Linked DNA regions of Sus scrofa. The protein of the gene in region 2 purifies or fractionates together with the protein of the main gene of each other region. This does not show direct contact. Links are inferred from orthologs where the notes say so. Each region holds a gene or a part of one and is shown on either strand. Other genes may lie near its edges.

Region 1 (4,229 bases), on a different chromosome or scaffold from region 2:
GATGCAGCTCCAATTCGACCCCTAGGAACTTCCATATGGCAGCGCTAAAAAAAAAAAAAGAAAAAAAAAGACAGAAAAAACTTGAGGGAGGTCCATGGCTCAACAGGTAAAGGTTGTCACTGTTGAGGTTTAATCCCTGGCCCAGGAACTTATTTATTTATTTTGCTTTTTAGGGCTGTACTCATGGCATATGGAAGTTCCAGGTCAAAATGGACCTGTAACTGCCAGCCTACACCACAGCCACAGCAACTTGGGATCAGAGCCGAGTCTGTGACTTACACCACAGCCCACAGCAAGGGCGAACCTGAATCCTCATGGATACTAATTTCTATTTCTTCTTTTTCTGCTGCTGCTTTTTTTTTTGCTACACCCTCGGCATGTGGAAGTTCCCAGACCAAGGACTGAACTGTGCCACAGTTGCAGCCTGTGTCACAGTTGTGGCTTGTGCCTCTTTAACCTGCTGCACCACACAGGAACTTCCAGGGATCTATAATTTCCTTTCTTTCTTTTTTTTTTTTTGTATTTTTAAGGCTGCTCCCATGGCATATGGAAGGCTAAGGGCTGAATCAGAGCTTCAGCTGCCGGCCTATACCACAGCAACAAGGGACCCGAGCTGCATCTAAGACCTACATCACAGCTCATTGCAACGCCAGATCCTTAAACCACTGAGCAAGGCCAGGAATCAGTGAGAGTCCTCATGGATACTAGTCAGGTTCATTACCACTGAGCCATGATGGGAACTCCCAGAGATCTATAATTTCTTAACTACCATTCCTATCACAACTTCTATAGCAAGTAATATGTATGAATATGTATCACTGGCATATAATTTATACTATTCTTACTGCTCACTAATACAACCTTTCCCCCAGTCCCTGAATGAGGACTCCACCATCCCAAAACATATCAAGATTATAGTTCTAGAGGTCCTGCAGTGGTGCAGTGGGTTAAGAATCCGACTGTAGTGGCTCTGGTCACTGCAGAGGTGTGGGTTCAATCTCCAGCCCAGGGCACTGGGTTAAAAGATCTGTTGTTGCTGCAGCTGTGGCTTGAATTCAATCCCTGGCCCAGAAATTTCCATATGCCATGGGTATGGCTATAAGAATTTTAAACATTTTTTAAAAAGGTTATAGTCCTACACATTTGTATGCAAGTATATATATTTATATATTTTATAAGCTTATTATAAATAAATAATGTGTATTTACATACAAATGTAAAAGACCATGTATATATTTGTCTTTTCAGGGCCAAACCCAAGGCATATGGAAGTTCCAAGGCTAGGGGTTGAATCGGAGCTGTAGCTGCTGGCCTACACCACAGCCAGAGGAATGCAGAATCCCAGCCACCTCTGCACCCTACACTACAGCTCCTGCAACACAGATCTTTAAATTACTGAGTGTGGCCAAGAATCAAACACAGGTCCTCATGGATACTAGTCAGGTTTGTTACTGCCGAGCAACAAGGGGAATTCCTATATGTAAATATATTAAATCAGAAACAATGTTCTGCTTTGCTCTGATGTCATTATTTCATCTTCAAAATAGAAATCACTTAATTGTAGGAAATGGTTCTTATTCTGTCTTCCCCACAGAGACTGAGAAAGAGCCTTGTACTCAGATCTAGTTTGTCTTGCTGATGCTTTTGGACAAATCTCTTGCTGTCACCTTTATACACTCCTTTGGACTTCTCTTAGCAAGAAAATAATTCCTTTTTAAGTCTTTTTAAATTTATCAGTTTCCCCTACTTAATCGCTTAATGTTGCTGAATTAGTGGGCCAGAAGCACAACTGGAAAAAGATCACTAGATGTCATCCCCACACCTTGTGATGACATAAAAAGTTTACCCAGTGCCCGGTTCTTTCAAAGTAACACTCGGAGAACAAGAGTCAGGAGTCTCTGCTGCAGGGTGTAGCACAAGGATAGGAAACAACGCGGAAGGAACTTTAAGACTGTCACGGACAGGTCATGCCAAGGAAAGATTTTGCTAGAAGCAGACAACACCCACTGTGGTCTAGATACTAGCGATGCAGAGATGTCCCTGGCCGGACGCGATGTGGGCCCTCCTCCGCTCTCATCTACCACTCTGCACAGCACACGCCGAGACAGGAAAGGACCGACAGGAGGGGCGACTAACAGGCTCGACGCTAAAGGGCTTCTGGACAGCGCTCTCTGAGCACCAAGTGACGACTGAAACGAAGCACAAAAGAAGGGAGACGCCTGAAGAGAAGGAAAGATTCAGGCGATGGATGGGGCTGTCTGACACGTCCGGGAAAGGAACGGACTTGTTACTGGATGCGGGGGGAAGGCAATGAAGCCGATGAGCTCAGCGTGGGGCAGGATAACCCCACAGGGAATGATCAGTGGAGGCCGGGGGTCAGAGCGAGAGGGGAAAAGTGCGGCCTGAAGGCGGAAGCAAACACCAGCAGGAGCCCACGGCTCCCAGAACCCGCGTCAAAGCTTCTCAGCGCCCTCCCTAGGCGGGCCCCCCTCCTCCCTGCCTCCCCCTGCTCGCCCGCTGACCAAACGAGTTGAGAAAGTCTGCGATTTTCTTGATGCTGCTGGTGATGACTTCAATGTACTCCCGGTTCGCCCAATCCTGGTGAATCTCCCGCTGCACGGGATCCTCTTGGCCTGCCATGGCTGCAGCTGAAGGAAGCGCGACTGCGCACGCGCCTCGACCCTCCAGGCCTCCAGTGCGCCGACGCAGCCAGCCCACGCCCATGCTCGGTTGGCCACAAATCCACAGGCTTCGTGATGCGCCTGCGCATTGTCAAGTCCCCGCCAGCGTCTTCGCTCTTCTCCCACACCCCGGAAAACGGTGGCCGCAAAACCGGCTTGGAGAATGGAGTGCGCACGCACTCAGAGCCCCCCCCGTCCCCCCTCAGTCACTGGCAGTTTTGGTCGTTAGGGGGCGCGTGAGCCCGCATCAACCCTAACTTCAGGCGCTCCAAACTGAGATCTCTGACCACAATAAGCTGGGCAATGCCAATTAAACCACAGAAAACACAAGTCATTTCAAAAATGCCTTTTAACAACACATGATGCCCACCTTGCATTTATCAAATGAACAAAAGGTTATTTTTTTAAACTATAATACTTAGAGATGAAGAGGCTGGCTGAAGGGAAATGGGAAAATTAGTAAATAGCTGGTCATACTGTAAGCTGGCAAGATCTATTCAGAAGGAAATTTAATAAAGTCATTGGTGGAGTTCCCGTTGTGGCTCAGCCGTAAGGAACATGACTAGTATCCATGACGTGGATTCCATCCCTGGCACTAGCTCAGTGGGTTAGATAGAGCTGCAGAGTCTTTGATCTGATGGCTGTGGTCCAGGCTGGCAGCTTACAGCTTTGATTCGACCCCTAGCCTGGGAAGTCCACATGCCTTGGGATGCGGCCCAAAAAAGACAAAAAAGAAGAGCTCATTGGAAAAGAGAAAACACTTTGAGCACAATGTTCTTAAAGGCATCATTCATTTAAAAAAACAAATCTCAACTGTTGGGGAATGGCTAAATATCAGTATAGTCACTTAGAGCAATATTATGAGGTCATTTAAATGTCAATTATGGCAACAGAACACACATGCTAAAGTGAAGAAGAAAACAAAATACAAAATTTTTTCTTTTCTTTTTTTTTGGTGGGGGAGCCCGCACCCCTGGCATATGGAGGTTTCCAGACTAGGGGGTCTAATCAGAGCTGTAGCTGCCAGCCTATGCCACAGCAATGCCAGATCAAAGCAGCGTCTGCAAACCTACACCACAGCTCACGGCAACAATGGATCCTTGACCCGGTGAGCAAGGCCAGGGATCTAACCCGAAACTTCATGGTTCCTAGTCGGATTCGTTTCTAATGTGCCACGATGGGAATTCCTTTTTCTTTTTCTTTTTTAACAATTTTAAAAAATATTTTGTCTTTATTTATTTAGTCTTTCTGCCATTTCTTGGGTCGCTCCCACGGCATATGGAGGTTCACGAGGCTAGCGGTCGAATCCGAGCTGTAGCTGCCAGCCTACGCCAGTGCCACAGCAACATGGGATCCGAGCGGCGTCTGCAACCTACACCACAGCTCACAGCAACACCGGATTGTTAACCCACTGAGCGAGGCCAAGAACCGAAGCCGCAACCTCATGGTTCCTAGTCGGATTCGTTAACCACTGCGCCACGATGGGAACTGTCTTTATTTTATATAATGATATTTTTTCCATTATAGCTGGTTTACAGAGTTCTGTCA
Region 2 (4,189 bases):
AATCCAAAAAATTCTCAATTCAGAAGCACATTTGGCCTCAAGAACTTTTTTATTTTGATCCCAAGGTACTGTAGGCTGGTACAGTAATTAAGATTAAATCTTATACAGAAAATATAACTAATACAGAGACTGAATGGGTAGATTTTCACAAGCAATAAATTCAATGTCTTAACTATTAACACAGACAATCCCATAAAAATAAAGCATTATAAAGACTTCTAACAAATGTCAAAAACCGAACACACCATTACATGTTTTTCAAGTGATGGTGATATCTGCATCATCCAATACCTAGATCAATTCCTCTTAGGTTGAAATCCACTCATTTTGTTGTTGTTGCCTTTTTATGGCCTCACCCAAGGCATATGGAAGTTCAGGCTAGGGGTTGAATTGGAGCTGTAGCTGCTGACCCACACCACAGCCACAGCAACATGGGATCCGAGTCGCGTCTGCAACCTACACCACAGCTCACGGCAACATCGGATCCTTAACCCACTGAGAGAGGCCAGGGATTGAACCTGCGTCCTCGTGGATACTAGTCAGGTTCATTACAGCTGAGCCACAGGGGAACTCCTGCAATTCACTAATTTAAATCAGTTTTTTAAAAAAAGAAACCCAAAGACCACAACTGGTAATTATGTTGAGAAAAAGAATCATCTACTGATAAGTAACGTATTCACTAAGGTGTTCTGATTTTTTTTCATTAAATCAGACGGTTTAAGATTTAAAATTCTTTCATTCTAGAATACAACTTCTGAACATTGAACAAATTACAATTGACTTTTTCCATGAAAGCAGAGCCTCAGACGGGACAGTAACAGGGACAGTCTAAAGGTATTTCAACGGGAAGAGGAGTTTCAGAGTTCTTTCCTTCCTTCCTCCTTCAGTTGCTGCTTTTCTGGTTTTAGAATTTCAAACAAAGAAATACATATTGGCTCCACTGCTAAGAAACGCCCTCTTTCTCAGCAACTTCCTCTTCCAATTTTCTTCCCTACCACTGACATATGAGTACAATACACACTGCCGTCCTACCATTTTGATTAACCAAAAGCTCTGAGGCTTGGAAAAATTTCGGGCTGCAATTTATAGTACCCACTCTAGGTCCACAATTTTCATCATCTAGAAGTCAAATAACAGGAAGCACAAATAAAGGAGCATTTCACTTAATCAAGAGTCCGGCTACTGAAACTTTCACCCTGGCAATCAAAAGAAATTTGCACTAACAAATACGGAATTTCATCCATCCCAGGAAAACGTGGCCTTTTTGGGGAAAAGAAAAAGTTACTAGCCTGGCATCAACTCTGAATTGAGAATCAAGTCTATGCACCAATAGTTGGTGAACTTTCTTGTACAGGCCACACAGCAAGGATTCAAACTGAGTTTGCTGAGGTTCTGACACACTTCAATGTGACTTTTACAATTTAGAAATGGTCCTTTTCAACTCACAGGCTGAACAAAGGGTTACAATTTACTGTCTAGAGATCAAGACCCAGCCTGTCCCCATGCCAGAATTCAAGTAACTCAACTATACTTCAGTAAAATGAATTTTTTTTTCAAAAGTCAGTTCAAGTGTCTAGGACCCGACCTCTCCCCCAATGTGTGACAAAGCAAACTTCCTTTAAGTGGACAGTGAATTCTCCCTGGCTCAATGATTCTCAAAGGAAACACCTTCGTGTTGGTAAGCATTGCACTTTACTGTGTGACCTTGGGCAAGTTACTTAACTCCTCTGAAATTTAAGTTTCCTTATGTGCAAATTCTCAAGGGTAGCTGTAAAAATTAAATAAGAACATATGCCTAAACCAGGTATGACACATAGTAGGAGCACCATAAATGTTCCCCTTCCTCCTCCTAGTCCACCTGAACTCTTTTGGGCCTAAATTTCAATCAAAACCCCAAGAGGCTCCAAGGATTCCTTCCTCTTCTGTCTCTATGGAGACCTATATAAAACTTCCCCATCTCAAAGGCTCTAGGATCCTGGAGGACCAAGACAAGCACACTCCACCCCACTATAATCTGGGTTTACCCAGACCCTTCCTGGATGGGCCCCCGGAGCCAACTCTTCTCCTTACTCTGCAGACCATCCTGTAGACAGACAGACAGACACACACACACACACACACACACCTCCCTGCCACTCTGCAACTTAGGCCTAAAATCTCAAAAAGCACCTCAGTGCCTTCAGGGCCCTGAGATGGAAACTGAGGCTCCACCTGGGGAAGAACTTGCCCAATATCTCGGACAATGTCTGGGATCCAACTCTTGCACATCTGCCTGCAAAGGCTTCGCTTTACAAATGGGGGAAATGAGGCCCAGAGAGGGAAGTGACTTGCCCAAGGTCATACAACGAGTTGGTGGCAGAGCCAAGTCAGCTTGGGGCACTTCTCAGCTTCACAGGCCCCTCCAAGCCCACGAGGGGATCTCCGGGACACCTCCTCCTGGGGGAGGGAGGAGTGTACGGCAAGACACTACCCCGCGTTGCCGCTCCCCCGGCCTCTGCCGGTCCGCGACAGGAGGCGCGGCACCCACTCCCCCGAGACACAGAGCGGCTTGGGAGGGGCGGCCAGGTCGGCCCGGCGCCTCTGGGCCGGGCCCGCCCGCAGGGACTTGTTGCTCACCTTGTATCGTGCGGTCGCCCTCAGAGACGGAGGGGCTGGCCGGCCGCCTTTCTCTGCACGGGGTCTGCTCTCGCAGGCCGCCCCGCCGGCTGCCACACAGCCAGACCCCCCCCCTCAGCGCGCTACGCCCCCAGCCGCGATCACCCGGCACGCGTCCGCCATTACGCGATTCCCCGCCCTGGGATGCGGCCACACCCCGCCAACCGCCCTGATTGGTTCTCTGCCCCACCCGCCGGGGGCTTCCGGGTATTCCATTGGCCCGAGTGGAATGTCAGTTAAATAGCTACGCAAACGACGTACTCAATAGTACAGTCCCGGGAGCTCCACCCGAGCTACTTCCGCAATCGGAGTAAACAGCAAGGGGCAAACCAAATGAAGTGGGGGTGGATTTTAAACTTAAAAAAATTCCTAAATTCGAAGTAGGAGAGTCCCACCTAAGAAAATGTAAAACCTTGTAAAAGTGTATCAAATGGCTAATCCTCTTTGTTAGAGTTCAAAGAGCCAGAATCTCTGGTGGAAGGAAGGGGCCAGGCCCATGAACTTTCTGTAGCCACCCCTCAAGTTGCAGATATTTTTGACACTTTCCTCCGGGTCTCCCGCGGGGCAGAAAAAAGGGTGGGGAGAGTGAGTCATAGACTCCAGCCCGCTGCTAAGGGATTCATCCGGGGCGAGGCCCGGGGTCCTGTGACTGGGAGCTGGTTCTGAAAGGCCAGGGTCAGGTGAGTTGGACCCTGGTTCAGCCGCCACCTCACTCTGTTACCTCAGACAACTCTGAACTTATCTGGGTCTCAGTTTGTCCTTCCGCAAAATAGGAGTAGTCATGTCTGCCTCGTGTTCTAGAGTGCTTGTTAAGGATTCATGCATGAATGGGAATATGTGTGTCTTATCGATTATAAAAGGTTGCTGGCTGGATATCGAGATGACAAATTAACAGGTTAGCAAAGGAACCTCATTTAGGTATTCTGGAGCAACTGTGTAAGGCAGATACTGTCCTCGGTTTGCAGAAGTGAAAACGGAAAACTCCATGACTTACCCTGAGTCACCCAGAGGATATGAAACGACCTTGGGACTCAAACCTGTATCTTTTGGCTTCCATTCATGTATTTCTCCCTTCTGGGACTGGTGTCTCCTGAAAAAGACTTCCCTCCCCAACATCGTAGCATTCCAGGGAGGGTCTTGAAGATGCCTGGCCAGTCTCCCATCTCTCTGGCTACCATAGACTTAGGCACAGTCCACCCCCCAGCTATTGTTAATCACCAAGGTTCCTGGGAAAAGTGATCCTAGGGGTGCACATGAGCTGTTTCTGGGGTCCTCAGAAGCAGGAAGTGAGCCAGGGATGAAAGAGATGACAGATGGGTCAGCTAAGGCAGAATCCCAAACAAAGGGAGTTCCCTTTGTGGCTTAGTGATTAACGAACCTGACTAGGATCCATGAGGATGAAGGTTCAATCCTTAGCTTCACTTAGTGGGTTAAGGATCCGGTGTTGTCATGAGCTGTGGTGTAGGCCGCAGATGCAGCTTGGATCCCGTGTTGCTGTGGCTATGGCTGTGGCAGTGGCTGCAGCTCGGATTTG

Evidence for each region. The genes of interacting proteins can lie anywhere in the genome.
Region 1: the proteins of WASF2 (region 2) and BRK1 purify together in Homo sapiens (co-immunoprecipitation; 3 studies listed by BioGRID and IntAct, with this or other methods). This does not show direct contact. The link is inferred for Sus scrofa from reciprocal best matches to the Homo sapiens genes WASF2 and BRK1.

Annotation. Positions count from the first base shown.
Region 1 is NC_010455.5:66,314,009-66,318,237, reverse strand, and holds the start of BRK1 (protein BRICK1), read right to left. Parts: upstream 2,801-4,229; 5' UTR 2,725-2,800; coding exon 2,523-2,724; intron 1-2,522. UniProt on the Homo sapiens protein: Involved in regulation of actin and microtubule organization. Part of a WAVE complex that activates the Arp2/3 complex. As component of the WAVE1 complex, required for BDNF-NTRK2 endocytic trafficking and signaling from early endosomes.
Region 2 is NC_010448.4:84,694,629-84,698,817, forward strand, and holds the start of WASF2 (wiskott-Aldrich syndrome protein family member 2), read right to left. Parts: upstream 2,801-4,189; 5' UTR 2,617-2,800; intron 1-2,616. UniProt on the Homo sapiens protein: Downstream effector molecule involved in the transmission of signals from tyrosine kinase receptors and small GTPases to the actin cytoskeleton. Promotes formation of actin filaments. Part of the WAVE complex that regulates lamellipodia formation.